Arabidopsis thaliana: one gene and its partner. The protein of the gene in region 1 purifies or fractionates together with the protein of each later gene. This does not show direct contact. Each region holds a gene or a part of one and is shown in the gene's direction. Other genes may lie near its edges.

Region 1 (4,417 bases):
GTATAAGCTTGACATTGGGGTCAAATTTCAGATCATTCATCTTTTCTCTTAACCCTGTGAGAAGAAATCATAAATCCAATATATATAATATCAGAGAAACAGGGCAGATAAACGAATATGATCTAGATTCTTTTAAAAGATAGATTCAAGAAAAACCTTTTAGGATTTGGGAAAGAAAATACTTTCTCTGATTTAGTTAATGTAATATATATGTTTCCCTTCTTATATAATTTGACTTATCTACTTCTTTTTTTTTGGTATGTCGACATCAAGAAAATTTAATTACTAATTTGAAATTACACATTAGTAAAGCTGAAATGTGAATCAAATTACCTTAACCGTCGAAAATTTATGAATTTTGATTTCTGATTTCTGAAAAACTAGAAACCCTAAATCCAAATAACTAAGTTGTGATAAATTATAGGAAATAAATTTAATTCTTTAAAACAATCAAATTTCATCTATATTTATTATTTATTGTTGAAACTAAGAAACTAGCGGAGATTTGTAAAATATTTATTGAAAAAATGTTAATTCTTATTTTTTTTCAATGTAAATTCTTATTTTGAGTTAGTTAGTTTTTTTTTTTGCCAAATACAAAACACTTAGTAAATTCAAAGATAAGAATCTTATGTAAAGAAACAGTAAAAAAGAGATTAGAAGAAATCATGACCTTCCATCTTTCTCTTTTTTTATGACATGTGTTAATCAATTGATGAGATTTTGATACATGTAAAGAACTTCTTCTAATTAGATTTTGATCTATGCTAACATAAAAATGAAAAATACAATTTTTTGACAAAAAAAGTAAAACGTTTATATTAAAGTATATAGTTAAAAAGGATACACTTCAATGAAAATAAGAAAATTACATAAAAAAGGGAAAACCTTATTAAAAAGGGGAAAAGGTTATTAAGTAAAACTTTGTTTCTTAAAATGAGTAATTAACATAATCACATTAGCCGTTTCTTTAGGTGTCGAAGATGTTGTATGGAGGAAGAGACAACAGAGCATTTATTTTTCAACTGTACCTATGCGAAAGCTGTTTGGCGAGGCTCTGGAATATCAAACAGGTTACTCTATGACCCACGGACCCCATGGGAAGAAAAGTTGAGAGAGATCCTCAAGTGTAACACGGGGACAAGAACGCCACATCTTAAGCACTTACCTCTTTGGATCTTGTGGAGACTATGGATATCACGAAACAACCTCACCTTTCAACAAAGGAACTTTTCATGGCGAAAGGTAATACGACAAGCTCGAAGTGATGCAAAGGAATGGCATGATCAAGATGAAAGAAGTTTGGGAATGACGAACCCTCCGCAATTTCAGAACGTTGGTTTTCAAGGCGAATATCATTGGATGAAGCCGAATACAAACTGGATCAAATGCAACTATGATGGTAGCTTTATCAACGGACAACCGGCTAGTGCAGGATAGGTGATTAGAGACGACAGAGGCACCTTTAGAGGTGCAGGTCAAGCTAAAGGAAGACATGTAAACACAGCTATGGAAAGCGAATTTCAGGCACTAATTCTTGCAATGCAAAGCTGTTGGATTAAGGGATATACAAGAGTATGTTTTGAAGGCGATAACAAAACAGTGGTGGAACTGCTTCATGGTCGGCAACACAATTTCAATATTTTTAATTGGATTAGGGAAGCACGCATTTGGAGAGACAAGTTTAATGACTGCCAGTTTACTTGGGTTCGAAGAGATCACAACAAAGCGGCGGATATCTTAGCGAAACATAGAATACCATCTGATGCTTTGTCGCATTTTTACAACCTCATTCCTAATGTAATCACAAACGCATTATACCGGGATTTTAATCCCTATTTAATATGAGAAGCATGTTTGAGTAAAAAAAAAACATAATCACAACACGTGACAGACGACCAGATTTCAATGGAGATATTTTTTTAATCTAATTAGATTAAATAATTAAAAGGAAATATATATTAATTTGTATTTTTCTATCAATTTAGAGAAGAAAAAGTATATTTTCGAATATGATTAAAAAGTTTAATCTAATTTTAAATATTTGAGAATCAAATTTTCAAAGTTTTTAAATATATGAAATTAGTAATCTTAAAATGAAAAATTAATTAGTTTCTGAAAATATATTTAAAAGAAAATAGAGAAAAAGTGAATACTAATGGGCCAATAATAATATAGTCTCAGTAATAATGGGTCTTTTCAGCCCATCGACATGTAAACAAACCAAAATTGAAAGTCTCCGAGTGTTACTTCTCAGTCGATAGAGAGTTTGAAACAACAAAACAAACTCTCGCTTCTCGCATCGTTGATTCTCCAAAACCAGTTTTCACTCTCTATTGCCGATTCTCGTTTCGTTTGATATCTTAGGAATCTATAAACAAAGGCATGGGTTCAGTATTCTGTTGATTTTCTCAATCAATTTCTCAGCTATTTTCAGTCTTAAGGTCTTGGTCCATGGGTTGCTCGAGAAAATGTGGAAAAAGTGATGGTCTGAGTACTTAATCGTAAAATGCAAATACAAAGCTTTTGTGGGTTTATTAAAGTTGGTAACTTTTGATAGAATTTTGAGGACTCTTACTTGTTTACTTACATGCCTGCGTAGTGTTTGTTTAAATGCCTGTGAGAAATACTTTTTAGTGAAAAGCTCTTTTTTTTTTTTTGTTTAGTGTTCGTTTTAGTAGATATGTAATGTGAAACTAATTTCTGAATCTCTGTTTTGAGTACTGTAGAGTTATGAAATTGGTATTTTGCTAATGCATGTCTACATTGTGTCCAGATTCTTATAAAAACAGAAACTTTGATCTTATCTTATGGATGAATTACTTTAGGTTACTGATGATGATTTGTATAACCTAGATGTTCGTTTCAGAGAAAAACCTGGAAATTACTGTCTACTTCCTTTTCCTTTCTCTGTGATCTTTCAGTTTTGATTTTTTCCAGAGTCTTTCTCATATCTTTCCTTTGAGAAGAATGTGATGATAGTAAAGTATTTCTATTCTCTGGATCAATGATGATAGCTATGTGACATTGCTTTGATTTGGTTTTGAAGGTTGAACAATGTTTCTCAAAGTCCAATTACCATGGAACGTGATGATTCCAGCTGAAAACATGGATGCCAAAGGGCTGATGTTGAAGAGAGCTATACTAGTAGAGTTACTAGAGGCGTTTGCTTCCAAGAAAGCAACCAAGGAGCTTGGCTACTACGTGGCAGTCACAACTTTGGACAAGATTGGAGAAGGCAAAATCAGGGAGCACACCGGTGAAGTTTTGTTCCCGGTAATGTTCAGCGGAATGACTTTCAAGATCTTCAAAGGAGAGATAATTCACGGTGTGGTGCACAAGGTGTTGAAGCACGGTGTCTTCATGAGGTGTGGTCCAATCGAGAATGTTTACCTCTCCTACACGAAGATGCCGGATTACAAGTATATCCCTGGAGAGAACCCGATCTTCATGAATGAGAAGACGTCTAGGATTCAGGTTGAGACTACAGTGAGGGTTGTTGTGATTGGGATAAAGTGGATGGAAGTAGAGAGGGAGTTTCAGGCGTTGGCTAGCTTGGAAGGTGACTATCTTGGACCATTATCTGAAGAGTGATCTGCTTGATCTCTTCATGTGATGGCGTTTTTGGGCAATCTCTTATGTCTATATAACTCGGCTTTAGTTCATGTTTGGTAGTAACTAGTAACTACTCTCTAGCTGTGCAAATAATGAAAACATTGATCTTTGAATGTAATGAAATCCTTCACCTTCAAGAGGAAAGATTGGTCTAATTTAGGTTTTTTGTATTGGTAATGATTTTTGCTTGCTTGTGAGTCTCTTCCATATGATAAGCTCAGATTGGAATTAGACTCTGAAATCGTAGTCAAACCGGATATATAAGAAATATTTCAAACCAAAGTTAACCGAACCAATCTCAGAGCACGATTATGGATTAATCATCACTCATCACCATCGAGAAATCTCTAGTTTCAACAGGTCTCCAGATTTCGAAGCGGCGTATGAGTTTTTTTTTGCCAGTGACTGTTTCTGCGCCGATTGAAGCGGTGCCGCTTTGAATATTGCTACTTTTGCTCGCTATGTCAATTCAAAGTCTAACAGCCCAACCCAATAATCGTTGAGTTTGGGAAGACGAAAGAAAGCCCACGAGAATCACATGAGAATGTGATTGCTTGGCAGGTCTAAAACCCTAAATAAAAAATTTTCAATGTTTGGATTTGTGGATGACACAGGATTGGTTAATACTCGTTCTTGGCCCGACTCTCCTTTCCTTCGGTAATCGAATAGTAATATTTATTTAGTTAATATCTTTAGCTAATAGCCAACAATTTTATTTCGATAAAAAGAAGTATCTGAAAAACACTTTGATAACAATTAGATAGTAATTGCATGTATTTTATCAAACTATTTTTGGTCCACG
Region 2 (4,560 bases), on another chromosome or scaffold:
ATAGATCACCATTGATACTCTTCAAGAAGATCCCATTCAATTCAAGCTTTATCGAGTAAGATCTTTATTTTATTCCATGGAAACCGATTTGAGATTTACACGAATGATCCAAATACGTCTCATATCATGCGATTTCAAGACGAAAATGGCGTAGTTTTATTCAATCGAAGGCAATTTTGAAGATATCAAAAAGATCGATGCTTCAATTGCTTGATCTCTAACGTGTCAGTTTCTTTCTTTTTGTTCAGCGACGATCCTTCTTCAGTGGCCATGGTTTCTGGAGATACAAAATCGGATGCGAACAACGTTACTTATGGGTTCGTGAACTTTTGTATTTCCCAAAGCCAATTTTGTGGAAATGAGAGAGATCGATCGATGCTTAAAGCTCTGCTTCAACTAATAATGTCAATTTCTTTCTCTTTTTTTCAGAGACCTTCCTTCTTCTCCAGCGGCTACGGATTCTTCAGAACCTTCTTCCTATGCGTTAGTGAATTTTATTGTATTCTTTAGAACCAATCTTTTAGAATTGATCTTTGCTTTTCTGGTTATGTTTTGATTGATTTGTTATCTCATTTTCAGTGAACAGCTTGAAAGGCTCATGATGATAGATTCAGAAGAAGACCGGGGTCCCTCTGGGTTTGTGACCTTCTCGATTCTTTAACCACCAATCTTTGTTTTCTCTGGTCTATCTATGTTTTGATATTACTCTTTTTTTGTTGGTTTTGTTTCAGGTTTACGACTGATGAATTGATCTTTCAGGCTTTAGAAACAGTCTACGAGAATCATAATGGTCTTGATGTCGATGCGATTTTCACTTTTATCAAGGTTAGGAGGATCTCTCTGTCTCTATAAGTATCTGTGTTTCATGGTCATATCTCATGAGTAGTGTATATTGGTTCTGAAATGTGAGTCAATAGCGGGATTACACAATGGAACATTAGGATCTGAAAATTTGACTTCATGTTCCATCCCCTAAAAGTCTTCCTTTTAAAGTCTTGGTTTTGTTGATTCCTCCGTTGTTCTTGATCAACTAACCATCATGTTCTTGTGGTTAATATAAATTGCAGGAAAGGAACGAGTTACAGGAAGATTTTAGGGAGCGGTTGGAAAACCAGCTGAGATATCTAGTTTCTGAAGGCCAAGTATACAAGGTAACTAGTTTTTCAGAGTTGCCTCACACTAATGTTAAGATTCAGTAGTTTTGTTTGATCAGTTCAGAAAAACGGAAAAAAAAACTTGTAAATGCAGGTAGGAAACCTCTACAAGATCCCCCGTGGTGTATTTGATACTCCAGTTGTGTCAGTAGGAGATTCAAATCAAAGAGAAACCATGGATCCAGAAGATTCCACGGGCACAAAGGCACAAGACACACCAAGTACTTGTGCTTCTTTCGCACCACCAACAACAGAAGTAGATCCTCGGATAATCGCATTAGCAAAAGAAGTCGCAGAGGCAGAACACTTGGAGTTGGAAGCAAAAGAGGCATACGAACTTGCAGATAAACACGCCCAGTTGCTAAAATTAGAAAGCAACATAACCTTGCAGTTAGCCGTAGAAATCCTTAATCGATGTAAGTAATGTCCACCTCTTAACCTTTTATCATCATCATCATCACTGACTTTTTCATTTGATTTGGTCCTTGCAGGTGCTAACGGTGAAAAGATTTTCCTGCTGTAAAAGCTTTGACCTTCTGGTCCGGTTCAAGGTGGATATATTCGATCACCGGTTTCTTTTTAGTGTTTTTGGTTTTGAGTAAAAAAAAGAGTGTAGATATGAAATGTGATTTCATTTGACTAACTAGTCATAGTTTGTTACTTTGTGGTTAAATGATTTTGGTTGTGAAGGCAACAGACTATTCTGTTAGTTTTTGTTAATACAAGTTTTTACAGATAATGCCAATCTTAAGAATTGAATAGGTTTTTCTAATACATAACATAAGAAAGAAAAAAAGAAAGTGTGTCATGGTGTCTTTAGCAAGTATTTTTAACGGTCGAGATTAATTTCAAATACTGATCAAGAAAGAAAAAAATTAGTTATGAGAATTACAATTTTATAATGGGCCTCATTGTAAGCCCATTATAAGCTTACATAGGACTTTTATGAGTTTTTGTTCTCAGTCTGTCCCTTTAATTGTTTTTTGGCTCTTCTATCGCCCATCGCTTGGGAGATTAAAGTCTGAACTTTTTGATCTCAAGCTTCTCCATCTCTCCCTCAACTCAAGCTCCTGGTTCGGAACTATTTACTTTCCTATGCGATTGGTTGTTTATAAGTTGATTTCAGAGTTCGGATTCTTGTACTCATTAGATGTCCATATAGGTCTTGTTTACTGGTTTAATTGGGGTTTTATCAAGGAAATAAAGAGTGTTTAGGGTTTGAATTTCCGTGTTTGCAGATGGCGAGCAATATCATCTTGTTCGAGGATATCTTCGTGGTCGATCAGTTAGACCCTGATGGCAAAAAGTTCGATAAAGGTATACACTTTATTAGCCTCACTCACGATTTCTAGTACTTCTCATGGCTTACATCGACGTTTGTTCATAGCTGTTTAGTTCATGTATGTATTGTGAATGAGTTCTTCCGTTTATCCTTTTTTGGTCTGAGTGTGTGGGTTTTGTGGAAAAATTTAACTTTTTAAGTTTTTAGTCTCCCCCAAGTTTTGTTCTGTCTTCAGATTGAGTGGCTTTCTCTTAAACCTACAATGATTTTTGTTGTGTTTGTGGTTACAGTTACTCGCGTTCAAGCTACGAGCCACAACTTGGAAATGTTTATGCATTTAGATGTTAATACAGAGGTTTATCCATTGGCTGTTGGTGATAAGTTCACACTTGCGTTGGCTCCTACGCTGAATCTCGATGGAACCCCTGATACCGGTTATTTTACTCCGGTAATAAACTCTACTGCTTTTTATTTAGTTGTTTTGTTTTGAGTATATACACAGTCTCTTGTTTGCTTGGCCAAATTTCCATGAATGGTAACTTTGAACCCGTATCTGGATTTTGTTAGGATATAACTGTTAATGCTGCTAAATGGTTGATATTATAACTCTGTTGGCTGATTCGAGAAGCCTGTCTATCTAGGAATAAGAGGAGACATGGAATTTTAACAAGCTTTAGTTCTTGAATCTTCAAGATCTAAATTTGAAAACCAAGAATGTGTATGCATATCTAAACATTAATCTTATCTAGTTTTCATCTCGATACATTACAGGGAGCAAAGAAAACACTTGCCGATAAGTATGAATACATAATGCACGGGAAGCTTTACAAGATCTCTGAGCGTGACGGCAAAACTCCAAAAGCGTAAGAATCCCATATAACCCCCCCATATCAAAATAATTCAATCCAATTCAACTCACATATCAAACCATCATGTTTTATTTTATTTTCTTTAAATTATGTGTTTCCAGAGAGCTATATGTTTCGTTTGGCGGCCTCCTGATGTTGCTTAAGGGAGATCCAGCTCACATTTCTCACTTCGAACTCGACCAGAGGCTCTTCCTACTCATGAGGAAGCTGTGAGGTGCCATTTTTTCGGATAAAAACTGAATTAATAGAGAGCTTGATCTAATGTTTAACTTTTACTACTTCAACTCTTGCAATTTTCATGAAGCAACTCTTGTGCAAAAGCAAGTTTTTCCGTTCCGTTTTAAATCCCATTCCACAAATTGACTGCTCCGGTCCGGTGAAATGTACTATTTGTAGCTCTAAGCTATTGATGAAGATAAGCAATTGAGACCAAGAACATAACAAAAAACACAGACAAAGACACAGTTTTTTTTTTGGTCAAGGACACAGTTTTGTTTCTTCTCTAACCAATTTTCACTACACTCTTATCTTCTAACAACAATATGAAGCAATAAAGCTCGAAAAATAGATTCTGAGCCAAAAATAGAGTGTTTTCTCTAATCCATGCTTGTGTTTTCTCTAGTCCATGTTTGTGTTCTTGCTTCTTTGAGACTGGGAGAATATATCTTGGACGGTCGAGATTAGTCTTAAAAATTCTGAACAGATCAAGATTTAATTTTAAATCTGTATAGTGGGCCATGTTTAGGCCCAATAAAAGCTTTTGATGAGGCCTTCTAAATGGTATATATTTCGACTTGAAGAGAAAGAAAAAACAACTAGAAAATCGGAAGAATAAATGGACGGTGGAAGAAGGAAGCCCTTCTCGCCGGACTAGCCAAGCACGGTTCCGGAAAATGGACAAGTATTTTAGACGATCCAGAGTTCGCGGCTCAACTTCTAGATCGCACAAACATTAACCTCAAGGTAATCGAAAATTCCCAAAATCCCATTCGTCTTCCATGGAAATCGATTTTTGAGATTTATTATGTGGAATTAGGTCGAAATTTGGGTATTAATGTTGTATTGTTTATTCTTATTGCCCAAATTTCAAGGATAAATGGCGTAATATAAAGAAATCAAGGACACAATCACTCGAATCTACCTCCATTTTCACTTCACCTTCAGAGACTTCTCGTTCTGTTGTTAGCTATGAGGCTTCTCCTAGTAGTTCATCTGATATGAGCAATGATGCTAGGTTTGTTATATTTAGAGATTT

What was found.
Region 2: the proteins of NRPE7 (region 1) and NRPB8A fractionate together in Arabidopsis thaliana (co-fractionation; one large-scale study listed by BioGRID). This does not show direct contact.

What each region holds. Positions count from the first base shown.
Region 1 is NC_003075.7:8,405,677-8,410,093, reverse strand, and holds NRPE7 (RNA polymerase Rpb7-like, N-terminal domain-containing protein), read left to right. Parts: upstream 1-2,202; 5' UTR 2,203-2,383; exon of another isoform or gene 2,384-2,542; intron 2,543-3,049; 5' UTR 3,050-3,057; coding exon 3,058-3,594; 3' UTR 3,595-3,847; downstream 3,848-4,417. Other genes in the region: CLPB2 (casein lytic proteinase B2), read right to left, coding at 1-40. UniProt on the Arabidopsis thaliana protein: DNA-dependent RNA polymerase catalyzes the transcription of DNA into RNA using the four ribonucleoside triphosphates as substrates.
Region 2 is NC_003070.9:20,252,818-20,257,377, forward strand, and holds NRPB8A (RNA polymerase Rpb8), read left to right. Parts: upstream 1-2,120; 5' UTR 2,121-2,227; intron 2,228-2,392; coding exon 2,393-2,471; intron 2,472-2,726; coding exon 2,727-2,884; intron 2,885-3,207; coding exon 3,208-3,299; intron 3,300-3,406; coding exon 3,407-3,518; 3' UTR 3,519-3,871; downstream 3,872-4,560. Other genes in the region: AT1G54240 (winged-helix DNA-binding transcription factor family protein), read left to right, coding at 271-317, 430-483, 580-636, 732-825, 1,068-1,151, 1,249-1,570, 1,646-1,677; AT1G54260 (winged-helix DNA-binding transcription factor family protein), read left to right, coding at 4,523-4,539.